2 linked regions of the Ovis aries genome follow. The protein of the gene in region 2 interacts with the protein of the main gene of each other region in a pairwise test. Links are inferred from orthologs where the notes say so. Each region holds a gene or a part of one and is shown on either strand. Other genes may lie near its edges. The genes, in order: SHFL and SSX2IP.

Region 1 (16,457 bases), on a different chromosome or scaffold from region 2:
GAGTAGGGTGAACAGGAGGAGGTGAGGAAGGGAGGGGACTGGACAGAGCTTGTGGAACTTTCTGCGCTGCAGGAGGACTTGGGTTTTTCCTCTAAGTGGGGACATGACCTGACTTGGGTGTTCACAGGCATTCTCTGGCTGCTGTTGGAAAACCAGAACAGAACCTGAGGACAGAAGCCTGGAGACTGGGAGGTAGCTGCTGTCAGGAAAGCCAGATGGTGTCTTGAGCTTGGATCATGGGATGGGGTTAGCACGGGGTGGTGGGGGGTGATGTGCAGGAATTCAGGGTCTAAACACCAGAGCTGACAGGCCTGGCTGATGAGTTCCATCTGCCATGGAGAAAGAAACGCAGACAACCCTGGGGTTTGGGGCTGGGTATATGGGAAATGTGGTGTCCGCTACTAGACTGAGTTAGGGGGACTTTTCCCTCATCCCCTCTCCCATTTTCCCATGGCTTCTGCTTCAGCTTCCTCCAGGTCCTTTAACACATCAGGCATGATCCACCCTCAGGGCTTTTCAAGTTTCAGTTCCCCCTGCCAGGGACCTCTTCTCTCCTAGAAACCCCATGGTTTCCTCCCTCAGGTTTTTCTATAAAAATGTCACCTCCTCCAGGTCTTCCCTCCTCTCAAATCCCTGTCTTTTCACTGGTGTCTTTTTTCTTTTTTTTTTTTTTTTGGCCTCTTGTGGGATCTTAGCTCCTGGACCGACCAGGGACGGAATCCAAGTCCCGAACAGCGAAAGCGCAGTTAAACCACTGACGGCCAGGGTATTCCCCTCTTTTACTGCTATCTTTAATACAAACTAGGGCCGTCTAATACTCTATGAATTCTAACTTAATTTTGTTTCTTGCTCACCAGGGCAGGGATTTTGTGTGTGTGTGCTGCCCCCGACTGTATTCCCAAGCGCCTAGAACTGAGGCCAGTAAACACTAAGCTCAGTGAAGCCTTGCAGAGTGAATGCACGAGGCATATTGACCTGCAGGGCGCCTGGAACTCAGGGGTGAGGCCAGGGATGGGTTCTACTGCAGCATCTCCAACCTTGGGCCTGGGAAGGGGATGTATCCGGCGTGTGCGGCCCCTGATACACGCAGGTGTAGACATGTGCGTTCCCGTGTGGGAGAGGACAGGGTTTGGTCCGACTTGACAGTCGGGGGTCCAGCCCCCCTCCTTCCCGTTCATTCTCTGCCCGCAGGTCCGCCATGTCGGCACCCCGGCTGCTCACGTTGCAGCTGCTGCTCCTGCTGGGCGCGTGGTGGGCGCGCGCAGCCGCTCCGCGCTGCACCTACACCTTCGTGCTGCCCCCGCAGAAGTTCACAGGCGCCGTGTGCTGGAGCGGGCCAGCGGCCGCGCGCCCGACGCCGGAGGCCGTGAACGCCAGCGAGGTGGCGGCGCTGCGCGTGCGCGTGAGTCGCCACGAGGAATTGCTGCGCGAACTTCAGCGGCTGGCAACGGCCGACGGCGCCGTAGCTGGCGAAGTGCGTGCGCTGCGCAAGGAGAGCCGTGGTTTGAGCGCGCGCCTGGGCCAGCTGCGCGCGCAGCTGCAGCACGAGGCGGGCCCAGGGGCGGGGCCTAGTCCGGGGGCGGAGCCCGCCTCCGCGCTGGCGCTGCTCGGGGATCGCGTGCTGAACGCCTCGGCAGAGGCTCAGCGCGCTGCCGCCCGCTTCCACCAGCTGGACGTCAAGTTCCGCGAGCTGGCACAGCTAGTCAGCCAGCAGAGTGGCCTCATCGCCCGCCTGGAGCGCTTGTGCCCGGGGAGTGCGGGAGGGCAGCAGCAGGTAACTCCGAAACTATCACCCTCCCCAAATCTCAGCCACTTCTTGTGGGCGTTGTCAGTAAGGTGTGGCCTCTTGAAACCCCAGGATCTCTTATCCGCAGTTCTGAAGTACAAAAAGCTCCATAAACCGGATCCCTACCTCTCCACCAACAACTCATTTGGGTCAAAACGCTACTGGTAGCTACTTAAAGTCTTTACTTATCTACCTGATATGAATACTCAGTGGTGGTGCTTTAGTCGCTAAGTCGTGTCTGATTCTTGCGACCCCCACGGACTGTAGCCTGCCAGGCTCCTCTGTCCATGGGATTCTCCAGGCAAGAATACTGGAGTGGGTTGCCATTTCCTTCTTCAGGGTTTCTTCCTGACCCAGGAATTGAACCCAGCTCTCCTGCATTGCAGGCAGATTCCTGTAATTAGGTATATTACTAATATGTGCATGAAGACCTCATTGGGGATGCTAGGGAATATATGTAGACCCTGTGTTACTGTTTCTTGTTGCCCTTTAGTCTAAGTCGTGTCTGACTCTCTGCAGCCCCATGGACTGTAGCCTGCCAGGCTCCTCTGTCCATGCGGGTTCCCAGGCAAGAATATTGGAGTGGGTTGCCATTTCCTTCTCCAGTTATTGTTTCTAACTCCTGCTCTATTATTTAGAATTCTGGACTATGTCTGGCCTTGGGTTTTGAATAAGAGATCGTTGCTCTGACGGTAGCTACCTTACAGGTTTGGGAGGCTTCAGTAAGTTAATACTCAAGTGTTGCATTGCCTCATATTATCCCTGCTTTACAGAAAAGTTTGGAGGAACAGATTGGTTAAGCTGTGGACACCAGAGCAAGAGTTTAAGCCCAGCTCTGTCTCTTTTAAAATTTTTTGGCCACACCTTGAGGCATGGGGGATCTTAGTTCCCCGACCAGGGACTGAACCCCTCCCCTTGCAGTAGAAGCAGAGTCCCAACTGCTGGACCACCAGGAAGTCCAGCTCTGTCTCTTCTTGACTGCTGGAGTTAGGCTGGGGAAGATCAAGCCATGCTCCTGCTTGATCGCCTTCCCATCTGGGTGCTGGGAGATGTAAGAGCCCAGAGCCTCCAGGGCTAACGCATCTGACTTTCTTGGTTACCCCAGGTCCTGCCCCCACCCCTGGTACCTGTGGTTCCCGTCAGTTTGGTGGGTGGCACTGACGACAGCGGCAGGAGGCTAAACTCAGCCGCAGAACCCCAGAGAGATCAGACCCTGAGACAGCCAGGACCCCTGGCCTCTCCTCTGCCCTCAGGGCACCCTGCTGTTCCTCCTAAGCCAGCAGGTAAGTCAAGGGCATGGCTGTTGGGGGTGTGAGGAGCCAGGGGATTCCCAGTGCAGCATGAATAGAGGGAAATAGGAGTCAGGACCTTAATGTGAGATTCCCCTTGTGGTGAGGGGACTGGGGGGGAAATGATGCATTTTTATTCTGTTGATGGAACAGGGAGATATGGCTCTTAAGGAACAAAATTCTTACTATGGTGTGAAACTAGGAGAGGTACTCTTATTTTGATGAGAGGGCAGCAGATTTAAGAATGCTACTTTGGTGAGAATTTGAGGAAGTTCAGAGAGCCATGTTCAGGACCTCTCTTCTGGTGAAACCATAGGATTTAAGAATCCCAGCCTCCACATTTGCTCTACTGAGAGAAGAGTGACTTAGAGTCTAATTTAGGTAAGAAAAAGGGTTTGGGGGCTTTTATCCTGGAGAGGGAATAAGAGAAGCAGTACTTCTGGTGAGGGGACCAGTGAGAATCAAGACTCTTACTCCAGTAAGGGGTTGACTGGTGTAGCTTGTGCCTCTCCCATATCCCTGTGCCCATAGGCCCATGGCGGGATTGTGCAGAGGCCCGCCAGGCAGGCCATGGACAGAGTGGAGTGTATGAGTTACGAGTGGGCCGGCACGTGGTGTCAGCATGGTGTGAGCAACAGCTGGAGGGCGGAGGCTGGACTGTGATTCAGAGGCGGCAAGATGGCTCGGTCAACTTCTTCACTACCTGGCAGCACTACAAGGTGGGCACAGGTGGGTGGGGCAGGGCTGGGCGGGGAAGGGGCCCAGCGCCTACCTTTCTGACTTTCTTGCCCTGCCAGGTGGGCTTCGGGGAGCCTGATGGGGAATACTGGCTGGGCCTTGAACCTGTGCATCAGCTCACCAGCCGTGGGGACCATGAGCTACTGGTGCTCCTTGAAGACTGGGGAGGCCGTGGGGCACGCGCCCACTATGATGGTTTTTCCCTGGAGCCTGAGAGTGACCACTACCGCCTGCGGCTTGGCCAGTACCATGGTGATGCTGGAGATTCTCTTTCCTGGCATAATGACAAGCCTTTCAGCACCGTGGATAGAGACCGAGACTCCTATTCTGGTAAAGGGCTCTTATTTTGGTGGTGTGTGGGGGCAGGATAGAAGACTCTTAGTGAGGAAATGAAAGAGGGTGGGGTAAGACTTTCCTCTGGTAGGGATCAGGGCAAACAAGAGAATGGAGGACAGGACTTTTATTCTGGTGAGGGAGTCTACGTTCATTCTCTAATGAGTTAATAAGTCAGGGCCTCAGCCTTTGTGAAAGGAGGTGGGGGAAAGGGGGAGCTGTGAGAGCTAGGACTTTTAACTATTGTAGAAAGAAAGTAGAGAAGGTTGTTTTTTCTGGTAAAGGAATGAGAGGAAAAGCTCCTTGTTTGCAGAAAGGACGGAGGAAAATGTGACTTGTACTTTGGTAAGGGGATAAGGAAGAAACTAAGGCTATTACTTTGAAGTAGGGGGACAGAGTATGCCTGGCAAAAGCCTTGTGTTAGTGAGGTGCTGGTAGAGGCTTTTATTCTGGTGAGAAGAATAAAATAAGGCTTTTTTCCCCCTCTCCCCTCAGGTAACTGTGCCCTGTACCAGCGGGGAGGCTGGTGGTACCATGCCTGTGCCCACTCCAACCTCAATGGTGTGTGGCATCGTGGTGGCCACTACCGTAGCCGCTACCAGGATGGGGTCTACTGGGCCGAGTTTCGTGGTGGGGCTTACTCTCTCAAGAAGGCTGCCATGCTGATTAGGCCCCTGAGGCTGTGACCCTCTGTCCATCTGTCCCTCAGGTCCCAGGGGATGTGTGTCAGCAGGAGCCCAAGTTGTCCTGGCCACCCCTCCTTTGTGGCTCCATGCAGACCATGCCCCACAGACCTCCTCCCATTGTGGATCTGCAGGGCTTCCCCAGGGCTTTGTAGACAGTGCCCAGGAATCCCCCTGCCAATATCCTGGACCCAGACGGCTCCCCAAGGGCATTGAGATCTCAGTTTGAGCTCATATTTTATAACAACACAAAATAGCCACAGACCGTGTCTGGTTTTCATCTGCATCTGGCAGGGGTCACTCCCCGTGCCCGCCCTCCTCCTCGTCCTCCTCCTCTTCCTCCTCCTCCTTCAGGTCCTCCAGAATGAGGTTGTCCAGGTCTTCCAGGAGGCCCCCCTGGCTCAGGCAGGTAGCCACAGTGGAGCCACTGCTGATGTGGAGGTTGCTGGGGTGCAGGACTTTGGGCAGGTGGTTCTGCTTTCGGCTCTTGGGGTGCGCACAGGACGTCCCAGGCACATGGGGCTCTGGGGAGGGAGAGGTTCTGAGCCCTCTCCTGGGGCTGGAGGCCACGGGGTGCTTTGGGGGAGGGGAGGGGCTGCGGCCACAGGCTCTAGGGCAGAAGTGGAAGTCACAGACGTTGAAGCCACAGGAGACCCACGGTCATGGGCATCACCTGAGACTACAGAGGACCACACAGGAGCCAAGAACACAGAGAGACTGCAGGGGCTGAGTCCACAGGACCCTGGGATGTGGGTTGTCAGGGTGAAACCACAAAGCCTCATGGGTGAGAACATGGAGGGTGGCTGATGCCACGGGAGGTGAGTGTGAGGAGGGACCCCCCCTCCAGGAGAGACCTGGAGGCAAGGAGGTGGAGGACGGTGGAAGATGTGGAAGGAGGGGCCGATGTGGTAAGAGATGAAATGGCCTCTAGAACTAGGACCTAAGGAGTTAGGTGCAAGAAGCAAGCAGACACCTTGGTAGGTAAAGCCCCAGAGGTGGAAATCCCAGGAGTCCAGGCCACATAGACTGGAACAGGGGGAGGCCATGCGGACGCAGCAGGCGCTCACCTCTCCGATTGTAGCAGTCCTCAGCGGAGCAGGAGTGGGTGTGGGTACTGCGGCGATCCGGGTCGCGATCCCAGCGCGGAGGGAGGATCCGTGTCGGATACACAGGGAAGCCGCACCCGTAGCAGGGGGACCGGGACCCCATCTGTGCCCAGCCCCTGGGGGCGGGCAGGGCCGTGAGGGTCCAAAGGCCAGCTGGGCCAGGATGGGGCCAGGGCAGGGAGGGGCGGGGCGGGGCTGGGGCGGGGCCGAGGGTGAGGGGGTGGGGTCAGCACCCTCTCGGGAAGTTGTGCCCTCACCGGAAGTTGTGTCGACATTTCGGGCAGTGGAATTCAGCCACGCCCCACATCTTGTCACTGGGCACGGGATCATAGCGCTTCCGGCATTTCCTGCATCTGGACACCTGGGGGTACAGAAGAGCGGAGCAGATGGGCACCGATAGCCTGATGGTGGTCACGTTGGGATTTACACCATCGAAATTGGCGAACACTGTAAATCTGGGGGCACTTCGTTCCTGGTTGGTAGGCGTTTATCAGAAGCACACCACTGGTCAGGGGGTTCAGAAGCCAGATTTGGGGTTCAGGCTTGATTTCTGTGGTAGTGGTCAAACGCCATAGTCAAGAGTTCAAGGGTAAGTTGAGCTTCTCCAGTTGAATGTTGAAAGTCCAGCTCAGTAGGTCAGCGTTGGGGCTGAGATTGGGGTTGATCTCTGAGGCTGCAGGTGTCCGGGGTTGGGGTCTCAGAGGCTGATGTTCTTAGGTCAGTTGGTTTGGACACAGAATGGGGGTTGGGAGCAGAGCCGGGACAGAACCAAGGTCAGGGATTGGGTTATCACCTCTTTCCGCTGGGGCACGCGGCGCCACCAGACATGGTCACAGGAGGAGCAGGCGAACTGCCGGTCCACGGCAGGGATGAGGTCTTCCTGGGCACGCTGGAACATGCGTAGATTGTCTTCTGTCAGTGGCAGGAGGGATGTCGCCACCGCCTGCAGAATGGGGTGGGCGGGGCCAAGAGGGCGGTCAGTCCTCTTCTCTTCCAAACCCCTATCCTGTCCCTCCTTCTCACGTATGGATACCCCCAGGGGTGTGCACACCGCTCCACCTCCCCATCCCACACCCTGGACTCACCTGGATGTCCTGGTCCTGCTTCATGTCCTCTGGGGGGTCCTGGGTGGAAACATCAGGGGTAGAAACTGGGGAGGTGGCTCATGCCTCTTTTCTGGGGGCAGGGCTTCTGGATGGGGAGGCAGGGTTCTGGCCCCATATGAGTAAGGTGTCCCCAACTCAAGAGGAGTTAATTGAGCAGTTTCCACTTCCTGAGGGCAAGGGTGTGTGACCTCAGTTGTCCTCATAGCAACCCTGAGAGGTGGGCACACCTGTGATCCTCATTGCTCAGATGGGGAAACTGAGGCCCAGAGCTCTGAGAGGGCTTGCCTGAGATTACCCTGAGTGAGTGTGGGCAACAGGCCTGGGCCCCATGCTCCCTTCATGCTGGCAAATGCCACACACTTGCTGGCATTGTGACAGGTCACCTGTTTGAGGCTATGCTGCTTTAGGCTAAGTGCTTGAGCTCTGGATTCAGAGAGCCACAGGTTGGAATCCTGGCCTCATCACTTCCAGCTGTGGGGTCGTGGCCAAGCCACTCTCCCTAATGAAGGACATCTAGGAGTCCAGGTTCTGACTCTAGGTGACCTGGGTTCAAATCCCAGTCACCACCTGCATTCAGCATGAGCCTGGTGAGTGACTTCATCACCCTGTGTCTCAGTTTCCTCATCTGTCAAGTGGATATGATAAATAATAGGACTTGTCTCACAGGACCTGTGGCAATAAGTCAACAGAATTCCTGGAGTCCTGTTGCAGGGAAAGTGCTCAATCAATGATACTCTTTGCTAGTTTTATTATACTCATTATATGTATAACTGTAAATATATAAATGTTACAAGTATAAAACATACTTTATTATACTCTTTAACAGCTCTGTGCTGGGCCCTTTCAGACAGGCAAACCAGTGCACCAGCTACCAAGGCCATCTAAGGGGCAAAGTGGCCATACAAAGGCTCTCATTCATTCATTGCTTTAGTCATTCATTTACATGGGCTTCCCTGCCCCTCTTTCCTCCCCTATCTCTTACTCGTCCCAACCTGTCTGCAAGTTCCTCTGCTCAGGTCACCCTCTCTTCCAGGAAGATCTCCAACCCCTCCCCTTCCCAGGGATCACTCCTCCCTAGGCTTGAAGAATGTGGTACCACCTCCTCCAGGAAGCCTTCCCTGACCTCTTTGGCTCCTCTGTAATGATGATAATCCGGATTCTTTTCACTGCCTAGTTTCTTGTCTCTCTCCATTTCATACAATCAGCATGTAATGAGCACCTATGGTTTGCAGGCTCCTTGGTCAGATCCATAACTGAGAGGTAAGTGAATGAGGCTAGACCATGAGTTGTGGATGGACAGTGCACAGAAAGAGCTCTGCCAGGGATGAGCCTGACCCTTCCCTTCTTCCTTCCCTTACCACGTGTTTTGAGGGGAGGGGGCAGTTTACCTGGGTGTCCAGATCATTACTCAGTTCCTGTCCATCCTTCTGCTTTACCCCTGGTGGGGAGAGTAAGTGTAAGTGAAGGCCCCTTGAAAGGTTTTGTGGGAATTTCAGGGCCCCCAGAACCCCGATCCAGACCGCCCCCCAAAGAGATGATCTCATCGCCTCTTCCAGCCCCCAGCACAGACCACACCCCCTCCCTGCTCCCCAGCTTAACTCTCACCAGGCAGGACCCCCACCTGCTCACCATACACGATGGAGCGCCCCACTCCAGTGTGGTCGCTGCCAAATTTCCTCATCAGAGTCCCTGCCTTCTTGGAGGATACCTTTCCATGAAACTTCTCCCGGAGGCGCCGGACGCTTTTCTCCAGCTGGGGTAGGGGACCGGTGGGGGAAGGAAAAGCGCAATTGCCCTTCCTCCATCCCTAGGCTTCCTTTTTTCACGGCCCGAACTTGACCCCGGGTTTTGGCCTTCGCACCCCCCCCCCCCATCCCTCTACTGCATTTCCTGGAAAAAGCCAAAGTCCCCACAGAGTACTGGGGGAGGGAGCGGACTAGGGCGAGCGTCCCAGGCTAAGGGATGAGGCCGGCCAGATGACCCCTGGCCTCTGACCCTTGACCCAGCAGCCCCCGCTTTCCCTCGAGGAGGCCGCATTTTGCTCCGGGGCATGTGGCGGTCACTCTCCTTTCCGAGGGAGACGAGTGCCAGCCTTGGGGGGAAGGTCTGGGCTTGGATGGAGTCCCCAGCAACTGCGAAGCCCGCTCCGTGCCCCTAGCTCCTCCTCAGCATCTCTCGCGGGCCACCGGCCCAGTTGTAGCCATCTCCTACCTCCACACCTTCTTGAGACATGGTGGCGGCGTAGGTCCCCGCGAGGGTCCGCACTGCGCGCTCGGCGGCCCCCTACCTGGGCGCGCCCGTCGGTCCGGCCGCGCAGGGCAGGGGGCGGGGCCTCCAGGCCGGCTCCGCCCTTCCTTTCCTGCGCTCCGTTTCGCTTTCGTTTGGGAACGGGGGGGTGGACGGGGAGGGCTGGCTCCGCCCTGGCTCCGCCTCTGCTCTTGCGCCCCAAACCCAGGCGGGCGCCCCGGATCTGCACCCTGCGGCGGAGCGCGCAGAACTCGGGCGGGGGAAGCGGCGCGGCCTCTGCAGTCGGTCACATGTCCCCACGCTGCGCGGGGTCCGCGTCTTCACGTCCCTCGTGGGGGCGGGGCCGCATCTGAAGGCCGCGGCGAGTCTCCGTGCCCCCGCCTGTTCGCGCTCCCCTGTTCATCGCTCGGTCCCCTCCCTCCACCCGGAATCAGGCGCTAATGAGGATCTAGACCCCTGTCTCGCTCTGAGTGTCTTATCCGGCTATGTCTTCTCTCTGAACCTCAGTTTACTTCGCTGTAAAGTGGGGATGATGATAGTGGCTACATCCTGGGGACGGGTGTGTGTGCTCGCGCGCGCTCATGCCTGTGCGCGCGCGCGCGCAGGTGCAGGATTCGAGATCCCCAGGTCGAGTATTTAGTAGCGCCTGCCATGCTGTAGACATTCAACTAGTCACTGGGCCACCTACTATGTGCAAGATATTAAGAAGCAGGCAGTTGTGGTGGGGAGAAGATGCTCGTTAAAAATACGGATTCCTGGTTCCTCACAGTCTTGCAGAATCGGTCTGTCTAGGGGTTCCAGGGAATTTGCGCTGAAAAACGGAAGATTGAGAACCCCGAGGGATCAGGACGATTTTAACCCAGCATGGGGGGTGGGGGGTGGGCGAGGGGGCTGGAAGAGCCCTGCCTGGCGGCATCAGAAATGGTTTCTTTAAAAAAAGAAAAAAATGGCTTCTTGGAGGAGTCCGGAAGACCGAGGTCTCAGCAGTCAGAAGATCGGAGTGCGGGATGGAACAGCTTTGGGTGCAAAGACCCCAGAAAAAAGTGACTAGCGCTTTAAGCCAGGGCTTCTCAACCTCAACGCTATTGGCATTTAGGGCTGGGTGATTCTGGAGGCCTGCCCTGTGCATTGTAGGATATTTAGCAGCATCCCTGGCTTCAATCCGCTAGATGCCTGTGGCACTCTTGCCCCAGTCGTGGTAACTGAAAATGTCTCCAGACGTTGCCAAATGTTCCCTGGGGGTGGCAAAATTGTGTTAGGATAAATGACACCCCTCAAATTGTTTAACCTCCATCAGTAAAGATGTGGAAGCTCAATTCCTCGAAGAGTGTTTGTTTATGAATTATATACAAATACAGTATGAATTATATACAAATACTCAGATTCTGTGGTGGTGGTTTAGTCGCTAATTCGTGTCCGACTCTTGCGACCCCATGGACTGCCAGGCTCCTCTGTCCATGAGATTTTCCAGGCAAGAATACTGGAGTGGGTTGCCATTTCCTTCTCCATGGGATCTTCCCGACCCAGAAATCGAACCCAGGTCTCCTGCACTGCGGGCAGATTCTTTCCCAACTGAGCTACTAGAGAAAGATCAGATTCTGTAGATCATTTTATAATAATGTATTTGTTACATAATGATATTCGTTGGGCTTCCCAGGTGGCGCTAGTAGTAAAGAATTTGCCTGCCAATGCAGGAGACTCCAGAGACGGGGGTTCAATTCCTGGGTGGGGAAGATCCCCAATGATTAAAAATATAAATGTTCTAATGTTTTCTACTCGAACTCCAAAGTTTTGTTTGTGGAGTCTAGGCATTCCTCCCTGGAGCCTACTCTATTAACGAGTGTAAACAGTTCATGGTTCTTTGTGGCTGAGTGGTGGGGTTTCAGGCAGGAATGAGGGGCTGTAGGCGTCACAGAGCAGTGGTCCCTAACCTCTGGGATCTGATGCCTGATGATTTGAGGTGGAGCTGATGCAATAATAATCGAAATAGATCGCACACTAAATGTAATGCACTCGAATCATCCCGAAACCATCCCCCCACCCCCCACGCCGTCTGTGGAAAAACTGTCTTCCAGGAAAATGGTTTCTGGTGCAGAAAAGGTTGAAGACTGCTGAGAGGACCTAGGATTTTATCCCAGAGAAGCGGGGAGGCATGGAGGGGCTCTCTCCTTATAGTTCCCAACTACTACTTACCCAGTGGAGGGGGAGGTCACAGCTATGTCCCATCCCTGGTCACGGTGAGCACAGAACAGGCAGGGAACAGGTGGGAATCTGATCAAGCCCCAACACAATTCATGTCTGTTAGCTTCTCATCCTAATGATCACCATAGTGAGAGCTTGCTCTGTGCCAGGCACTGTTCCATGCACCATGGACACAGCATCACAGAAAACAAAGATCCCTGCCCTACAGAGCTAGCATTCTAGTGGGGGAGATAGAAGAAACAAATATGTGATGGGTAGGCAGTTTCCCTGGTGGCTCAGACAGTAAAGAATCTGCCCGCAATGCGGGAGACCTGGGTTCGATCCCTGGGTTCGATCCCTGGGTCAGGAAGATCCCCTGGAGAAGGGAATGGCTACCACTCCAGTATTCTGGCCTGGAGAATCCCATGGACAGAGGAGCCTGGTGGGCTACACTCCGTGGAGTTGTAGTCAGACACAACTGAGTGACTAACACTCTTACAACTTTCAGGAGATAATATGTGCCAGGATGAAAAATAAACTACGACAGGGGGATGGGTAAAGAGGGTTTAGGGAAGGCTGTGAGAAGTAACATCTGAGTGGAAACCTGAAGGATGCAGAGGAAGAGGGTTCCAGGAAGAATGGTAACTGGGGACTCTTCTTACCAGGTGTTGTAGTTCTCTGTTGCTGTGTAACAAATTATCTCCCCAAATGTAATGGCTTAAGGGCTTCCCAGGTGGCGCTAGTGGTAAAGAACCTGCCTGCCAGTGCAGGAGATGTGGGTTCGATCCCTGGGTTACGAAGATCCCCTGGAAGAGGGCATGGCAACCCACTCCAGTATTCCTGCCTGGAGAATCCTCATGGACTGACATGGGGTGATGTGGGGTGACATGGGCTGACATGGGGTGACAGAGATGGACATGACTGAAGTGACAGTACGCACACACGTAGCGACTTAAAACAAGAAACACTTATTAGCTCACACAATTTTTGTGGGTCAGGAACCCAAGGACGGCTTTAGTAGGCTTTCTGGCTCAGGGTCTCCATAAGATTGTAGTCGACATGTTGACTGGGGCTGCGTTCCTTTGAAGGTTTGACTGGGGCTGAAGGCTCTTGTTTCCAAGGAGGCTCACTCACACGTGACTGGCAGGTGAGTGCTGGTTGTTGGCGGGATGCCTCAGTTCCGCACTACCTAGGTTGACTTGAGTTTGATATGCCCAACCTGGCAGCTGGCCGCGCCAGGGCAGGCAACACAAGAGAAGGAAAGCCAGGTGGAAGTTGTATCGTTTCGTGACCTAGCCTTGAAAGTCCCAGAGCATCCCTTCAGCCGCCACATCCTGTGTGGTAAAATTGAGTTGCCAGATCCAGCCTGTGTTTAGGAAGAGGAGGATAAAGACCCTGCCCTCTCTCCCCTCCTCCCTCCCCATCTCCTACTGGAGTCTCTCGCTTCCAGCGCCAGAAGGCAAGGAAGGAAAGGGAGCCGGTCAGGCAGTCAGCCTGTCAGGGCACAGAGCAGGAGGAGAGGGTGAGAGTCACTCTGGAGGGACAGAGATACAGCCTGTGAGTATTGAATTTGGGCATTTATAGGTGAACAGAGGGCTTCCCTGGTGGCTTGGCAATTTCCGCCTGCCAGTGCAGAAGACACAGTTTGGTCCCCGAGCTGGGAAGATGCCCTGGAGAAGCGAATGGCACCCCACTCCAGTATTCGTGCCTGGGAAATCCCATGGGCAGAGCAGCCTGGCGGGCAACTGTCCGTAGGGTCGCAAAAGTCTCTGACATGACTTAGCGACTAAACACGATGAACAGAAAAACAAAGATTCCCAGCGATCACATGGAGGCGCTGCCTACATCAAAGTTTAGTTTGAGCTCTGTAACCATCTTGGTCTGTCTGGACACATATAGATAGCTTTCTTGTCCCATGATGTGGACACGAATGCATTTTATTCTTTGCCTTTAGGGAAAGGTGTGAAGAGGGGGGGGATGGATGGGGTGATAACAGTGATAAGAAGTGTAACCTCTGACATTTTAGTAATTGAGTCAAAGACGGAACCCATTTGACCTATCCGTTCATTTATTGGACAGACATGGATCAAACACCTCCTGTCTGGCAGGTATGGTGCTGGGCACCATTTCTATCCTTCTGGAGTCATGGTCTTAATCTGAAAGAGAAACAAGAAGCAGATGATAGCAGAAGGAATTATTTATATTTATGGTATGTACCAAAAAGAGAAATTGAGAGATCCATAAGAAAGGATAACACTTGGGAACCAGATGTGTGTAGGGTGGTCAGGGAGGGCCTCATGGATGAGATGTCTCTCGAACTGAAGTTTTTATTTTTTTGCCGCATTTGTGGCTTGCGGGATCTTAGTTCCTTTACAGGGATGGAACCTGGGGCCATGACAGTGAAAGCTATGAGTCCTAACCGCTGGAGGCCAGGGAAGCCCCACTGAAATGAAGTCTTGACACTTTCTGAAACACTGTGTCAAGGGTTTTGAACTGTGTATCTCATTTGATCCAGATAGAAATCATATAAAGGGGGTAATATTATTACAAAAGGGAAAACAAGAACCTCCTAGGGGTGGAGGGTTCTCTCCAAAGGATAAATAGGGAATAGGAACTACCTAGGGAAAACATGGAAACAGTGGCAAACCTTACTTCTTGGGCTCCAAAATCACTGAAGATGGTGACTGCAGCCATGAAATTAAAATTCACTCTTTGGAAGAAAAGCTGTGAGAAAGCTAGACAGTATATTAAAAAGCAGAGATATCACTTTGCTGACAAAGGTCTGTCCAGTCAAAGCTATGCCTTTTCCAGTGGTCATGTATGGATGTGAGAGTTGGACAATAAAGAAAGCTGAGTGCTGAAGAATTGATGCTTTTGAACTGTGGTGCTGGAGAAGACTCTTGAGAGTCCCTTGGGCAGAAAGGAGACCAAATCAGTCAACCCTAAAGGAAATCAACCCTGAATACTCACTGGAAGGACTGATGCTGAAGCTGAAGCTTCAATACTTTGGCCACCTGATGTGAAAAGCCAATTCACTGGAAAAGACCCTGATGTTGGGAAAGATTGAAGGCAGGGGGAGAAGGGGGCAACAGGGGATGGTTGGATGGCATCACCGAGTCAATGGACATTAGTTTGAGCAAACTGTGGGAGATGGTGAAGGACAGGGAGGCCTGGGGTGCTGCAGCCCATGGGGTCACAAGGAGTCAGACACGACTGAGCAACTGAATAACAACAACAAGGTGACGAGGTGCAGGTAGAGAGAGAAGCATGTGCAAAGGTCCTGAGGTGGGAGGGGGCTGGGTATATTGCAGGAATCTATAGGAGACGTCAGCTGGGGTTTAGTGAGCAGGGTGGAGAGTGAACGGAGGGGAAGATCACACCCAAATCTTGACCTTCAGTTGGACCTTCAGGGGCGTATGCTGGGTGAAAAGTATGTTTAGTTGTGGAGGAAATGGACATGATTGGAGGATGTGTGTGCTTTTCAAAACCTAGTCAATTTCTCCCTCAGCTTCATTAATTAGACCACAGTGAGCAGCATGCAGCATCTTAGTTCCCTGACCAGGGGTTGAACCTGTGCCCCCTGCAGTGGAAACACAGAGTCTTAACTGCTGGTTAAGTCCCTCCCTCAGTTTAACCAGATGAAGAAATTTGGGGATGCCTAGAACTGGGGATGTTGGGGTATGGGAAATCTCCATATTGTTGGTTGGAAAGAGTGTCCTTTGGTAGAATCATTGGAGAGAGCAACTCTGCAATACCTACTAAAGCATGATGTGCTATTTTTTTAAAATAACAAAGTGTTTTTATTAATTAACTGTCAAGCATGCCTCTCCAAACATCCCCCTACTTTTTATGGGTATATCCTCTTTAACCAGGGTTTCCCAGGTGGTGTGGGCTTCCCTGGTGGCTCAGAGGTTAAAGCATCTGCCTGGAATGCTGGAGACCCGGGTTCGATCCCTGGGTCGGGAAGATCCCCTGGAGAAGGAAATGGCAACCCACTCCAGTACTCTTGCCTGGAGAATCCCATGGAGGGAGGAGCCTGGTAGGCTACAGTCCATGGGGTCGCAATGAGTTGGACACAACTGAGCGACTTCACTTCACTTCACTTCACTTCACTTCCCAGGTGGTTTAGTGGTAAAGAATCTGCCTGCAATTCAGGGAACTCAGGTTTGATCCCTGGGCCAGGAAGATCCCCTGGAGAAGGAAATGGCTACCCACTCCACTATTCTTACCTGGGAAATCTCATGGACAGAGGAGCCTGGCAGGCTATAGTCCATGGGGTCACAAAGAATCAGTCATGACTTAGTGGCTAAACAACAACAAACTCTTTAACCGACTCTTCATGTGACAATGATTTGTAATATTTTCTTCAGATTGACTACAAAGATAATTTATTTTTTCTCTAGCATGATTGATCAGTATTTGTTTTTTATTATTTGTGGCTCAGAAAAAAGTTTCATCCACATAGTTCATTATATGTTTGTGTATATGTATGTGTTAAATTTCAGAATACTGTGTGTTATTTTAATTGTCTCTTTCAACCTCTGTGTTCTGATGCTTTGACAGGTGAGGCCTCGCTGACACTCCCTTGGCACACACACCCCATCCGTGTGCATTTCTGCATGTGGATCCCCACACTACCTTTACTCTCAATATGACATAATTCTCAAAATATCAAAAATTTTTTTGTTTGCAATAAGCATCCATCACTTTTGTAATGAGAATCGAGAAAATACACAATAAGACAAATCCAATTACTTTTTAAAATAACATGTACGAGACCCTGGGAATCTGTCTTTGACAATGACACCTAAGAGGTGAGAAGTAATTTGGAACTGCATAATTTGTGTAGCCCTTTGTAAACGCAGTGCCCTTGACAGCACAGCAATCTATTGTTCGACTTGCGCAAGATCGGCTTCAGATAGGTTTTCAAGAATGTGTTATGTGCAAAGCTGGGTGGCCCAAATGAATTCAGTGAATGGAGAAATCGA
Region 2 (15,903 bases):
AAAAGTCATATAGAAGGTACTACAGCAGTCTGGAATAAGCCGAAATTTAGGGATTGGAAGATCTGGGGTGTTAAGTCTTGATTTTGTCACTTGTTATGTGACCTTGCATTTGTCCCTTGAAATCTGGGTCTGTTACCAAGTCTCTAAAAATAGGAAGGTTAACCAGAAGTGAAAGAGACACATGTACCCCAATGTTCATTGCAGCACTGTTTATAATAGCCAGGACATGGAAGCAACCTAGATGTCTATCAGCAGATGAATGGATAAGAAAGCTGTGGTACATATACACAATGGAGTATTAGCCATTAAAAAGAGTACATTTGGATCAGTTCTAATGAGGTGGATGAAACTGGAGCCTATTATACAGAGTGAAGTAAGCCAGAAAGAAAAACACCAATACAGTATACTAACGCATATATATGGAATTTAGAAAGATGGTAACAATAACCCTGTATGCGAGACAGCAAAAGAGACACAGAGGTATAGAACAGTCTTTCAGACTCTGTGGGAGAGGGAGAGAGTGGGATGATTTGGGAGAATGGCATTGAAACATGTATAATGTCATATAAGAAATGAATTGCCAGTCCAGGTTCAATGCAGGATACAGGATGCTTGGGGCTGGTGCACTGGGAAGACCTGGAGGGATGAAATGGGTAGAGAGGTGGGAGGGGGGTTCAGGATGGGGAACACATGTACACCCATGGCGGATTCATGTTGATGTATGGCAAACCAATACAATATTGTAAAGTAATTAGCCTCCAATTAAATAAATTCAAATTTTAAAAAAGTACATAGTACACAGATATATTGTACAGCACAGGGTCAGTTCAGTTCAGTTGCTCAGTCGTGTCCGACTCTGCGACCCCATGAATCGCAGAACGCCAGGCCTCCCTGTCCATCACCAACTCCTGGAGTTCACTCAGACTCATGTCCATCGAGTCAGTGATGCCATCCAGCCATCTCATCCTCTGTCGATATCTTCTCCTCCTGCCCCCAATCCCTCCCAGCATGAGTCTTTTCCAATGAGTCAACTCTTCACATGAGGTGGCCAAAGTACTGGAGTTTCAGCTTCAGCGTCATTCCCTCCAAAGAAATCCCAGGGCTGATCTCCTTGGAGTCCAAGGGACTCTCAACAGTCTTCTCCAACACCACAGTTCAAAAGCATCAATTCTCAGCTTTCTTCACGGTCCAACTCTCACATCATTCATGACCACTGGAAAAAACATAGCCTTGACTAGATGGACCTTTGTTTGCAAAGTAATGTCTCTGCTTTTGAATATACTATCTAGGTTGGTCATAACTTTTCTTCCAAGGAGTAAGTGTCTTTTTATTTCATGGCTGCAGTCACCATCTGCAGTGATTTTGGAGCCCCCCAAAATAAAGTCTGACACTGTTTCCACTGTTTCCCCATCTATTTCCCATGAAGTGATGGGACCGGATGCCATGATCTTCGTTTTCTGAATGTTGAGCTTTAAGCCAACTTTTTCACTCTCCATTTTCACTTTCATCAAGAGGCTTTTTAGTTCCTCTTCACTTTCTGCCATAATGGTGGTGTCATCTGCTTATCTGAGGTGATCAATATTTCTCCCAGCAATCTTGATTCCAGCTTGTGCTTCTTCCAGCCCAGCGTTTCTCATGATGTACTCTGCATAGAAGTTAAATAAGCAGGGTGACAATATACAGCCTTGATGCACTCCTTTTCCTATTTGGAACCAGTCTGTTGTTCCATGGCCAGTTCTAACTGTTGCTTCCTGACCTGCATACAGATTTCTCAAGAGGCAGGTCAGGTGGTCTGATATTCCCATCTCTTTCAGAATTTTCCACAGTTTATTGTGATCCACACAGTCAAAGGCTTTGCCATAGTCAATAAAGCAGAAATAGATGTTTTTCTGGAACTCTCTTGCTTTTTCAATGATCCAGCGGATGTTGGCAATTTGGATCTCTGGTTCCTCTGCCTTCTCTAAATCCAGCTTGAACATCTGGAAGTTCACAGTTCACATACTGTTGAAGCCTGGCTTGGAGAATTTTGAGCATTACTTTGCTAGCGTGTGAGATGAGTGCAATTGTGTGGTAGTCTGAGCATTCTTTGGCATTGCCTTTCTTTGGGATTGGAATGAAAACTGACCTCTTCCAGTCCTGTGGCCACTGCTGAGTTTTCCACATTTGCTAGCATATTGAGTGCAGCACTTTCACAGCACCATCCTTCAGGATTTGAAATAGCTTAACTGGAATTCCATCACCTCCACTAGCTTTTAGTGATGCTTTCTAAGGCCCACTTGACTTCACATTCCTGGATGTCTGGCTCTAGGTGAGTGATCACACCATCGTGATTATCTTGGTTGTGAAGATCGCTTTTTTACAGTTCTTCTGTGTATTCTTGCCACCTCTTCTTAGTATCTTCTGCTTCTGTTAGGTCCATACCATTTATGTCCTTTATCAAGCCCATCTTTGCATGAAATATTCCCTTGGTGTCTCTAATTTTCTTGAAGTGTAGTTAGCCAATATTTTATTGTAACTCTAAGTGAAGCATAACCTTTGAAAATTGTGAACCAATAAGTTATATACCTGAAACACATAATATTGTCCATCAACTATACCTCAACAAAATTTTTAATAAAAATTAAAAAAATAAAAATAGGTTAATATTCTTTTTCACAGCGTTGTTGAATCAACATAAAATACATGTTATGTACACTATGTTTTAGTAAATGTGTAAAACTACCATTTAAACTTTTAAAAACTTCATATTATGGAAAGGTTAGAGACTTAAAATATATCCCTTCCATAAATTAAGGCTATTTGAATCTTTAATAATTAATCAGCAATAAATGCTGTGCACAGAGAAGTGTGTTTTGCCGATTTTAAAAAAAATAATTTACGTGCGGGGTCTTGGTTGCTGAGCAGGCTTTTCTCTAGTTGTAGAGGGCAGGGGCTACCTTCTAGCTGCGGTGTGTGGGCTTCTGTTCGTCGTGGCTTCTTGTTGTGGAGCATGGCCTCTAAGGCACATGGCCTCAGTAGTTGCAGTTTCTTGACACTACAGCACAGGCTCCATAGTTGTGATGCACGGGCTTAGTTCCCCCATGGCGTGTGAGACCTTCCTGGATGAGGGATCAAACCCTCCAGCATGTCTGCTGCATTGGCAGGCAGATTCTTCACCACGGAACCACCAGGGAAGTAAGTCCCTGGCTGCTTATTTTTTAAATAAGTTAACTCACCAAACGTATTACGCAGCCAAGTAAGCTCTCAGTGCTCACCAAATAGCTACATTTCCTGTGTCCTCCAGTCTGGTTTGTTGTTAGGCTGGGGCTGTAGGCCTAGGTTCTGGATGAAGTAATGTGTAGAAAGCATGTCTCTTTCAGATCTGGTTCTTAACAGCCAACATCACCAACCGGTCTGCTTTTTCCCAGATGTGACAACACTGTGGGCCATATGAGCCAGATGGCATGAAGGAGGCTGACTGCCCGGCCGCACTGGTCATTTCACAAGCAAGAATTCAGTCTTTGTGCACAGCCACACCAGTTTGGTATTTTTCACTGTAGAATGGCTTACTCTATTCCAATGCCCTGTGTGAGGAATCAAACTACATCAGGTTGGAAATCAACCCAAAAAGGTGCCTATCACTATTGAGAAAGAAGTTTCAGGATTCTGACCGGAAATTTAGTCCATTCATGCCAATGAAGCAATGTGTTTCATTATACAAGTATAAATACTAGGTTCATTAGTATTTCACACCTTTCATTAACAAATATCCCATGCTCACTATGCATTAAGCATCTTACAAGGTACAAGTATTTCTGGATGTAAAATATGAGTATGGAAGGATCTCTACCAGGATCTTTATATATTACTGGCATTACAGTACTTTCTGAGACCTCTGAAATGAGGTATTTATAAATGTTAAAAAAAAAACCAAAACACTCAAGTGAAATATTTTTATATAAATCAAATAATTTAATTAGTTCCATTTCACTTTAATCTACAACCAACCTGAAAAAAATGCATCCTATTTAGAGAAATGACCGAGATAATCTACCTCATTATCCTTATCTACATGGCCCAAATCTTTGCAAATTCTTTCTCTATTAGATAATAATACATGTTCTTGTGGGCAGTAATTCTTAATGCTGCTTTGCAGGTATTTTGATTGTAGAAAACAAAACCCAACACCCAACAAAAACAAAATAATATATTAGTTACATAGTTCTTCCCATAGGAAATAACGCAAAGACTCTAACTAGAAGCTTGCCACAGCATTGTTATGAGATGGATATACAGTCCTGGAATAGAACAATCAGTCCACGGTTATCACCAGACTGAACATCTGAAAAGCATTTCCCATCGTTTACAATTTAGGTTTTTATAGCTGGTCTTTCACTCAACCCAGAGATTCTCAGTGGCAGAAAGCATTAGTTGTCTTTCTCTCCCTAGTGACTGACTAGAAGGTATTAATAAGGCCTGACACAGCAGGTACTTTATTTGCTTATGAAAAGATTTTTTAAAATTAAGGATAAACATAGGGAAAAAATATATTTAGTACACTCCCATGACTCACACGTATATTTTAAATACAATCTAGAAATAAGAACATGATTTACATCAGGCAACAAGGCATTCAAGACTTTTAGAACAGCGAATCACACAGGGGCTCGCTAGCTCACAGTCTGCAAAACCTCTCCCTGCATCCCAGGTGTTTTCAAATGCTCCATTAGGGTGAGTCAAGACTGGATTCTAGGGTGCTTTCCTTCTCACCATGCACCGTGAAATATGTTTTCCCAGAAAACCTGTTACATCACAAGCCTAAGAACAAGCCTGGTCAGCAAAGGTAGGAAAAATGGAACTTTTAAGTAACAATAGTATTTTAATTATACTATGAAGGAAACAATTTGCTGTGGACTGGTCTATGAATCTAAACACTTGATGCATTGCTTCTATAAGAAAATACCTATTTATTATGTTTAATTTTTATCTTAATTTTCTGGTAGGATTATTCTTCTATTAAGTTTCTCATCATATCCTGAAGATATAAAAATTTAAGAGTAGGAAATAAAATTTTTCTCTATTTCCTTTGCCACTTTTATGCTTCAAAAATTCAAAATGGGCATGTCAGGCAAAAACAAATAAGGCACAAAATATTTCAGATTTGCATCCTGATAAACAAGAAGATTGCCGGGAGAAATATCAATAACCTCAGATATGCAGATGATACCACCCTTATGGCAGAAAGTAAAGAGGAACTAAAAAGCCTCTTGATGAAAGTGAAAGAGGAGAGTGAAAATGTTGGCTTAATGCTCAACATTCAGAAAACGAAGATCATGGCATCTGGTCCCATCACTTCATGGGAAATAGATGGGGAAACAATGTCAGACTTTATTTTTGGGGGGGCTCCAAAATCACTGCAGATGCTGACTGCAGCCATGAAATTAAAAGATGCTTACTCCTTGGAAGAAAAGTTATGACCAACCTAGATAGCATATTGAAAAGCAGAGACATTACTTTGCCAACTAAGGTCCGTCTAGTCAAGGCTATGGTTTTTCCAGTGGTCATGAATGGATGTGAGAGTTGGACTGGGAAGAGAGCTGAGCGCTGAAGAATTGATGCTTTTGAACTGTGGTGTTGGAGAAGACTCTTGAAAGTCCCTTGGACTGCAAGGAGATCCAACCAGTCCATTCTAAAGGAGATCAGCCCTGGGTATTCCTTGGAAGGAATGATGCTAAAGCTGAAACTCTAGTACTTTGGCCACCTCATGCGAAAAGTTGACTCATTGGAAAAGACTCTGATGCTGGAAGGGACTTGGGGGCAAGAGGAAATGGGGACGACAGAGGATGAGATGGCTGGATGGCATCACCAACTCAATGGACATGAGTTTGAGTGAACTCCAGGAGTTGGTGATAGACAGGGAGGCCTGGCATGCTGCAATTCACGGCGTCGCAAAGAGTCGGACACGACTGAGCGACTGAACTGAACTGAACTGAAACAAGAAGACATTTAAGATGGTCAGGAGGGCTTCCAAGCAAAAGTGAACATGGTGCTCTCATGCACCATCATAGCTAAATGTAAGACTGCCACATGGCTCAACTACTAGAACACAGCAAATACCTACAGAAGGAAGGGAAACAAACTCTAGTAGGAGTTTTATATGTGGAGTCAGGAGTTATCCAGCATGGAAACCTTTTTAACATTTTGGGAAGCTTTGCGAAACTAGGAACCATTGTTGGAGCTGAAACGTAACTTACACTGTTAAGTAAAACACATGACTTCTGGCAGATCTATGCACACTTTTTTCAAAAGTATGATGACCCTGGCTTTCATTTTCTTTCTTTCACACCTGAGATTTCAAAGTAAGTCTCAAGGGAATTTTGCTTTTCAATAAGAGAATTCAACCAACTCCAAAATGGAAAGAAAAAACATGCTGCTTTGTAGAAATTCATCACTATGAAATGCAACATTCCCTAAAATAAGATCTAATTTAAAAACTAGAGCAAGTTTCTAGCCAAGTATATCATGGAAACCCCTGAAAAAAACACCCAATTCTTGACAAATATATCACTATTTAGAAAATTTGCTTTTCTTTGATATCATTATTGCTCAGTTCAGTTCAGTCGCTCAGTCACGTCCGACTCTTTGCAAGTAGCCAAAGAATTATACCACCAGCTGTTTCTTCCTTTGGAATATGGTACTATTTCTGAAATTCTGCATAATTTCTACTATTTTAAATGGTAAAGAAAGGGCATGCACCAAGCTGAATGTAGTGAGTGACTAATTTGCTTTTACTCAAGAGCCAGCTTTTTGAGACTGTAACTGCAGTACTTTCACTAATGTCTTATAAGATACTCAATGATATGCTATTAGCCCTGAAAAAGTTTTCTATACAGTGAGTGGGTGACAAAAGTACTATTTAACACGACAAATTTCAATGGGACAGCCGCAACCAGGTGAGTGAATATAAATGGTTAAAACTACTAGAAAATGGGAAGGCAGATGGGCCTCAACTACAATACCTGCAGCAAGGACTGGGTATGTGTAGGTTTCTACATGCAGAGATAAATAAGGGTTAGGTACTTAAAGCTTTCTGATGAAAACCCTGGAAAGGGCTTGGGCCCACACTTACATTATTCTTACTATAAATAATAACAACAACAACAACCATGAAGAAACATGCAATTAGTCCAGAAAATAAAACAAGTCTGTCCAGAGTATCATAGTATCTGGACTATAAAGTCTGATAATTTATGTTGTCAGATTCCCTTATTACTAAATATCTCATTGAAAAATTATTAAATAATTATTGGCAACTATACAAAGCCTTTGCTGGTACAGGCGTTACAGTATGGGTACCCATCTGGTAAAGAAAATATCACCATCCAAACATCTTAAATATCAGTATCTTCTAACATCGAAGTATCCTAAGCCAATACTCTTAAATTGTTTTATCCAAAGGTACTCTAATCATCTTACCTCTATTACCCTAAAATCAACAGTCCTTTGAAAATTGTAATATCCTTCATATTAAAAAAATCCAATGCTATAGAAATCTCAAAAATGGAATGTTAGTAATATTAATTATCTAAAGAACTTGGCTTCATGGAATAGCTTTTGAGTATTTATTGCTCAGATGGGTTCAAAAACTTCTTAAACATAATGCTGCAATGGCTTTCATACATCTGTAACAGAATATCACTAATAAAAATTTACCGGCATGAAATACTATAATTATGGATGTGTAAAATCTTTAAATCTTAAAGCCTCTTAACATAATCATGTATATCTATGTACAAAACATACATAAACTTCACTTTATTTAAAACATATGAAAGAGGGAATTTCAAATCACATTAAACATAATAAATATAGAACTTGCTTTGTTAAAAATCTACAGTATACATTCAAGGAAAGGCTAAACTTCCAATGCCAACTATGTATGAGACAAAATTAAACATTTACAATAATCAGTTTCCTAAAAGTGCTATTTTTAAGATCTATAATAGGAAACTCATTCTAGTGCTTTGTTTTCATCCAAACATGTATACATTCCTTTATTCACAGAACCAGATGCTTCTGTTACTAAAAATACATATCCAAAGTTTTTATATCCTTTTAAATAGATTTAACATTTTAGCTCTTTGGGGAGGAACAGGGAAGTCCAAACAAACAACACAGACCACCTTAAATTATTAAGAGATCACTGACTTTATAACATGCCCTGTTTCAACTCAGATGTGAAATCTGATGACCATGTTAATGAAAAAAAAAACTCCCTGTTCATATATCTAAGGTAAGTCATCCTTCTCTACATGAGAATTTGTGTAGGCCAAGGAGCATCCACTATAGCAACCTTCCTGTGACCCAGGCCTTGACGACATGCTCCACTTCTGATTTGTACATTCTCTTCCAACCTGATTTGGCTTAGTTTCTTCAGGGGTGATATTCAGTACATTGATTGAACTGCTGGGGAAAGAAAGGCAGATCTTAATTATTATCTCCTCCCTTCATACCTTAGATATGCCTGAATGTCTAAAATCTGATTTCTCCCTTGCCCCATGCTAAACAAAAATTTTGAGGACACACTGGTCAAGAACATACAAGTGCTTTAACATGGTCTAGTCTAATTTATCACTTTGATCTATCCATCTATTTATTTATCTGTTCAGTCTACTCTGAAGGATGCTACCCAACCAGAGCCTAAGGCAGACAGATAACATGTGAATTTTGAAAGCTAATGTCTCCCATACCACAATGTCCTAGTCTTTTTATGCTTTCTTTCTTCACTCATTGATTTGTTCATGCACGCTTGCATCCTCCATCCATTCAGCCATGCAGATATTTAATGAGGGCCTACAAAGTAGTGAAGAGTCTAGGCCCGAACAGATGGTTTAGGTTCACATCCCAGCTGGACACTTAGTGCATCATTTCTGGCAAGTTAAGCCCTGCTGTTCTTCAGCTTCCTCAGCTGTAAAGTGGAAATAATATTAGAACCCATAACTCATAGGCTTGAGGTGGAAACTAAATGAGTTAACACACACTAAGCACGTGTGATGATGCTCAATTAACTTTAAGTGTCAGACAACAACAATTTAAGTGTCTGAACACTGATACAGACCCCTAACTTCAGAGATACTGTCTGAGGTATGCTCTGCAACCAGCCTCAAAGCAAGGAAATTTAGTTAAATGACTACTCGCAAATCATGGGCTGAGCCAATGAACAATACATTTTTATCAACTAAATAGCTTAATTTTTTCCATAAAACTTATTTTCCCTAAATATTCATTTTTTGATGTGACTTTGGTTAATAACTCAACCTTATAATGTGGCAATCCTTAAAAAAATTAAGGTGCTCCAATTCTAAAACTCTAAACCAAAAACACTGACAATTTTATACTTATTTGCTTTAAAAAAAAAAAAAGGCACTTGCTTATAAATCAGATTCAGAATCCCTGCCATCTCAGATGAGATTAGATCAATGGTGAACTAAGTTTCCTACATAACTTAGTACGTGAGTTACTTTGCCGTTACGTTGCTGTAACGTGAGTTACAGCTGATATGTAACATTCCACTCTACAGTGAAGGAGGAATGAGGATGTGCTATAGAAATTAGGCATAAATACTCCTAATTATTTTGCCATAATCTTATTACAAACCCAGATCCAAAGTGCTTGAAGATCAGGAATTCAAATACACCAAATAATTAAAAATTTCAAGGCCGATGTCAAGCTGCACAGCTTCTTGCTTGATAACTAGTCACGTGACTCTTATTTTATCCTCAGAGGCCAGCAACTGGGAATAGCTTAACGAAATTTTCTTAAGCTCCAAAATTCTGTTTCTATGCCACTGATACTGTTCAGTGTAGCTCTTGGGATACAAGAAACAGAAAAGCATTTTTATAATCCATTTATGCTTACATATATTTTTATATGCTGCTACTGAAGGTTTACAAAGGGCCAAGTACTGTTTTAAGTGCTTTACATATACTGGCACTGCATCTCACACAGTACCCTTAATGTAGGTACTAAATGTTGGCCTTTTCATTAAACACAGTCTTCAAGGAGTTATAACTAAAAATAATTATGTAAAAAAGTAAAAATTCTAAATATATAAATATAATTGAGGCAACTAGGCTACATTCTCCTTTAGGTACAGAATGCATTATAAGCATACTTCATTTTATTGCATTTCAACTTACTGTACACTTTGCAGATATTGTATTTTTTACAAACTGAGGGTTTATGGCAATCTTGGGTTGTTTCCTAGTGATGAAGTATTTTTTAATTATGGTAGGCACACTGTTCTCTAAATACACTGCTACTGCACACTCAATCGATAACAATACAGTGCAAACACAACTTTTACATGCACTGGGAAGCCGGCAAGTTCAAGTAGCACGCTTTGTTGTGATATTCCCTTTTGTCTCAGTGGTCTGGAGCTGAGTCTGCAACGTCTCTGAGGGCTGCCTGCATTTGTGAATTGCGACTAGAATGTGTATCTAAATCTATACGCAGAGTTTTGATTGGTCAATTTGGGGGTTTCAATAACATTCTACACATATACTCTGAGCTTACATTATCTTTTGATTGTAAATTAAACAAACTTTACCTTCCCACATTTAACCCATCAGTCAACCCACTGGCTCTAACTGCAGAATACAGCCTAAATCTAAGCATAGCCCTATCTTCAGGTTATGACCCCAGAGTCCAGATGACTACGTCTCTCATGTCCACTCCACTGACGTCTTCTAACTGGGTCTCCTGGCTTATATTACTGGCTTCTACAATCTGTTTATCACATAATAAAATGAAGTCATCTTTTTAGAACTTAGGTTTTTAAAAAATCATTCTCTCACTTATAAGGTCTCCAATTGTCTTCCAATGCCTTAGAACAATCCTACTTACAAGTACAGACTAACATAGTTTACAAATGAAATCTTAAGTGCATCATGGGGGGGAGGTGTCAAGCACAGCAGGGTTGTATACAAACATATTAGTCATGAGTTGACAACTAACGAACCTGGGTGATGGGTACACAGGGACCCTGACCGTATTCTCTTTGTATCTGTATATATTTGAACTGTTACATAAAATATTACCTCTCACCTTCACACCACTTGGTTTTACTCGCACAAACACACCTGTGTCCTACTTCAGGGTCCCTACACTTGCCTGGAGGGCTCATCCCCCAGTCTTTTTTTGCCCCTCCATATTTAATATTTAGAGCCCGAATCCTTTTAAAAGTCAACTATAAAATAGAACGCCTTGTCCTTTTCTAAAACTTCACATTTTTGTTTAAAAATTCTTAAATTTTGTTTCAAAAATGGACAATTATTGGTTCAAGGGCTATTTGGCCTCTTCAGCACTGGGCTCCATGCCAGTCTGTCACTGGACAGGCCAAGTGTACGCCAGCCCCAGCTCCTGCGGTTCTGAGATGCCTGGCCAGGGCCAAGAGCCACTATCTCCTACTTTAACGGCGAGGAACGAGATCATGCCACACGTTGCGACACAGCCCTTTGCTCTTTTCTGTTCTTCTCTACCTCCCTAGGAATGTTCCATCTGCTTAGTTCAAAATTAATCTTGAAATAGGCTCTAAGGTAGTGCTGACATTATACCTTAGAAAATGATTTAACAACTTAAGACCAAGGAAAATACTGAAATGCAGCAGTTAAAAGCAGTTATCTGGCTTTCCTGGGGGGTGTGGAGCAACTCTGCCTGTCCTGTCACCCTTGGACACAGATCCTCGTCACCAGTCAAAGGAAGGTAGCTTTTCTCAGGTCTTTGTCCTTCCACATCCATAACATGGGCATACCACATGAGATGCTTAAAGAGGTACTCTACAGAAACTATCAATGCAATATCCTTCTATTCAATACAATTAAAATATTAAGTAACTCCTGAGATAAGACTGTACTTTAAGTTGTATTTTACCCGTGAAATAAAAAGAATCACATATGTATATGACTCCGCACCCAGAAGACAGCGACCAGAGCTACCTTGCTCACCACTGTATTCCCCACGTTAATAGGCGTCTCTATGTAATGGGTACCCAATAAATATGTGTACAATGAATGAGTCAATCTACTCAGTTCCTCTTCAGAGCCTTTACTAGTCCTCATCCTAGACAGGCCAGCTCTTCCTTCACAATGCCTCTCTAGCACTGTAACAAGTGTGTGAGGAGATCACCTACAGGCCAGTACCTATGTTCAGATGCACAAGAACGTGTCTGGCAAAAGTCTGAAGTAGAAGGAGAAGCAGGAAGAGACTTAGTCAGTTTAGACGTGCAAACTGGAGACCCGCTAGGCACACCGTGAGGCTTCTTTTGCCGTGACCTCGAGTGTAATGTAGGGGTGTCCCGATCAGAACCTATTAAAAAAAAGAAGAAAAAGAAGGAAGAAAAAAAGGCAGTACATATGAGGAAGCATTAGTAATAAATACACTGAAGGTAATCAACTAGGAGCCTAGACTAGGTTCCTTTGCAGCTCTAAGGGAGGTGTGAGAACAATCTGAATATCTTCTGTACGTATGAGTGTAGTCTAGCTAATCTGGTGAACTTTGCTACATTCAGTCCACAAACATTTAGGAGGATCTAGTTTAAAAAATATTTCTAGATTGTGGATTTTCAAAACTTGACATTACACTCACAAAAGTTGTCTTCGGTATGCAAAATCCTCCTGTCATTTCTATTTTGGTTACAGTAAATTAAAATATCAAAGTTGACTTTTATTCCAATTAGAGAGTTCTTACTGGTGACTGCTAAAGTTATATATTAATAACCTACAGTACTTTATTTACATGTATTTTCAGATTAAAAAGCTTACGAAGTACTCACTTCCTGAGAAGGCACTGAAAAGTTTCACATTTTCTGAGTTCTGGTGGTCAAAGGTAGTCATATTTAAAAACTGTTGCTTTAACCAACTGGCTCTTTCTTCTTCAAATGCCTTTCTCTGCCGTAACAAGCAAACCAAAGAAACAATGATCAGTATTCCAGCATTCACATAGTTGCCGATTCGCACGATTTCTGTAGGCACTTGTGCTTGCTCTCTGACTGTCTCTATATATTAAGTCAGAGGAATTAACCCTAGAAAACCAAAATTAAACCTCATTTAAGAAAGCTGTTAGAAATAAAAATTCACCTGTTTCTCCTAACAAGTCAACTACTATTTTCACATCCATTCTGAATAAATTCAAGAGTATAACACAGAAAAATAAGCACATTAGCATAACTTTAAACATACAGAATATCAGCATAACTTTTGAACATACAAAACATGGTAACTATAAGATTACAAACAACAGAAAAATACCCCATTGTAAACTAATCACTTGGGGAAGAAAAAGGCTTCACTGAGCACCGCTCTCTTCCTCAAGCCACGGCCCAGGGCCTAGCAGCCCTCATCACTTAGGACCACAAGAGGGCGTATGTGAAACCTCCCCCTTCTGAAGGCGCAGGGGATGGATCCTAAATTCTCCCTCACCTCTCAGGTCTCCCTTTCAGGGAGATTCGTATGCAAAGTAACAAGAGTATCTCTTGGACTGGCACGGAGAGAGGTGAGGGATATGAGCTCAGAAACAGAGGTGATCCCGTAAGATGGGAGAAAATGCTGGCACAAACTGTCTGTTTCCTGAGGAAGACAATAGCTATAGATAACACAGAATTTCGTAATGAAGGAGGAAGGCGTCGGCTACTTAAGATAACATACAGTCTTTCATTCATAAACATTAATACAAAATCATGGATCACCAGACATTTGAAGAAAAGTAATAGCATAGAAGAAAAATGCCAGGAGAAATAAAGAGAACTGGCCATGGGTAAAGCTCAAGGCAAGTTTTTTTAAGATAACACAAATTATCAGACAGACTTAAAGACATCTGTAAAATATAATATGAGACACAAAACAAAAAATACACTATAAAACTTAAAAGATAAATTGTGAAGTAAAAACTCAGTGGATGAAGTGAAAAATCAAACTGACCTTGCTGAATACCAGGTTGGTGCTGCACAAGATAAAAGAGAAAATATTCCCAAATTCGGAACATAAAGTCAATCTATAGATGTAGTCAGAAGGCCAAATATTTGTCTAGCAGAAGTTCCAGAATGCAAGAGAAGTCAGAGAAGGAAAAAATACAGAATTGAAGAAAATATCCCTGAACTGAAGAAATAGAGCATCTTCAGGTTAAAAGGAGCTACCCAGACCTACCCTGGTAAAATTTCACAACTCTTAATTTAAGAACATAAAATTGCAAAAGCTTCCACAGAGGGGGAAAAACAGCACAGCTGTCTAAAATTAACCCAGGGTATTTTATAACCAGGCTGCTCATGAGCAAAATCAAACAATGGAAGAATCAGAATAACTCACAGTTTTGAAAGGAAAAGTTGGAAAACAATTCTACATCCAGGCAAACCAATCAAGTATGAATATATTTTTGGATAGTCCAGAATTCAGAATATTTGTCACTCACACACACTTGTGAAAAAATTACTCAAGAAGGTAATACAACAGATTGAAAAAGGAACCCAAGAAAGAGAATACGAGATAGAAGCTGAACCTGATTCAGAAATCATAAAGCAAGCACCCACAAAAAAGTCACAGAATTCACTACAGATTCTCTTCTGCGTGACAGTTTTAACAACAAAGAATGCTATATAAAAGTGTCCAAACGTATTACTCGGCCATAGAATGAATATTCATATAATCACAGGGTTATCAATGTTCTTTCTGGTTTCCATTCTTAAATCGCAATCCTGGACAAAGTACTTACACTTGAATTTGTATTAAAAATCAGAGTATAAATGTGGTAACACTTGACAGTGAAAAATAGCATCACTGACAAAAACTGAGCAGTCGAGGGGTAAAAGCACTGCAACAAGGGTAACTACAAGGACGCCCTCACCTTCCATTTCAGGGATAAACCCATCCTGTCTAACGCTGAGCAAACATGGAATGGAAGCATTAAACAAATTTACTCCGAGTAAAAAAATCAACCAGGAGAAACAGTTCTTTAAAAATTAGCTTAAAAAAGTAACAATATTATGGAGAAATCATATGTATATGAGAAATAGTGTAGATGGGAGGTATGGTAAGGGCACTAAACTCCTTGTGTTTCATAGTGGGGAGTCAATAGGCTGACTGTAAGAAAAAAGGCTGAATTTTATTCAAGCTAAAATAGTTTTTCCCAGAAGAATCATAAACCTTCAATAGTGGTACCTCTGAGGAATGAAACTGAGAAGAAGGAAGGATACTTTCACACCTTGTAGCTTTTTGGAATGAGTTTCTTTTTTTAAATCATGTCCAGACATTACTTCTCTAGGTTTGGATAGGGAAATAGTGCATGTAACACACTACTAAATAAAAAGGCGAGCTGCTGAAGCGCATACACACAGTTCATCCCTGGGTAAGGCAATGGTACTGTACTCTCCCTTCCCTTAAAAAAAACCCAAGACACTCTCTCGGCTGAACTCTCTCCTGACTTTACACCTACTAACAGCGGAGAGATGACAGATGCCCAGAAGAAATCTCCTTCGTGAAGCAAAACTCTTAACAGCAAGCAGAAAGCTACCCAGAAGGCATGACAAAGGCCTAGTTTTTTCAATATAAAATTTTTTTCAATTCCCAAATCTGAAGGCAAAATGATACACCTCTATTACAGCTTCCGTTTCAAGCTATTTTGTGAAATCACTGGTAAAATACTTGAGGAAATGTACAGCAAAAAAACAAAAAATAAGAACTTCAATGCATTCTAGTGAGGCTTCTCCAGGACCTTCAAACATTCTACAAGGAAGGCCAATTGCTTAAAATACCTCCAATCCTAGGCGAATAGCTGCTTCTGTAAAGCTTCGTCTTTCCTTCTCGAAATTCTTTTTCTGCTCTTTAAAAAGGGACCACTCTTCTTTGAGGCGTTCCTTTTCTTCCAACAAGTAAC

Evidence for each region.
Region 1: the proteins of SSX2IP (region 2) and SHFL interact in binary tests that used the Homo sapiens proteins (3 or more experiments, as listed by UniProt). The two-hybrid records come from large-scale screens. The link is inferred for Ovis aries from reciprocal best matches to the Homo sapiens genes SSX2IP and SHFL.

The regions. Positions count from the first base shown.
Region 1 is NC_056058.1:12,497,910-12,514,366, reverse strand, and holds SHFL (shiftless antiviral inhibitor of ribosomal frameshifting protein), read right to left. Parts: upstream 9,362-16,457; 5' UTR 9,274-9,361; coding exon 9,253-9,273; intron 8,795-9,252; coding exon 8,671-8,794; intron 8,480-8,670; coding exon 8,430-8,479; intron 7,060-8,429; coding exon 7,021-7,059; intron 6,879-7,020; coding exon 6,729-6,878; intron 6,297-6,728; coding exon 6,193-6,296; intron 6,052-6,192; coding exon 5,897-6,051; intron 5,440-5,896; coding exon of another isoform or gene 5,354-5,439; coding exon 5,127-5,353; 3' UTR 5,050-5,126; downstream 1-5,049. Other genes in the region: ANGPTL6 (angiopoietin-related protein 6), read left to right, coding at 1,199-1,774, 2,892-3,069, 3,607-3,794, 3,873-4,143, 4,642-4,832.
Region 2 is NC_056054.1:61,668,944-61,684,846, forward strand, and holds the end of SSX2IP (afadin- and alpha-actinin-binding protein), read right to left. Parts: coding exon 15,782-15,903; intron 12,927-15,781; coding exon 12,812-12,926; intron 12,346-12,811; coding exon 12,180-12,345; intron 8,948-12,179; coding exon of another isoform or gene 8,944-8,947; exon of another isoform or gene 8,446-8,943; coding exon 8,268-8,445; 3' UTR 7,588-8,267; downstream 1-7,587. UniProt on the Homo sapiens protein: Belongs to an adhesion system, which plays a role in the organization of homotypic, interneuronal and heterotypic cell-cell adherens junctions (AJs).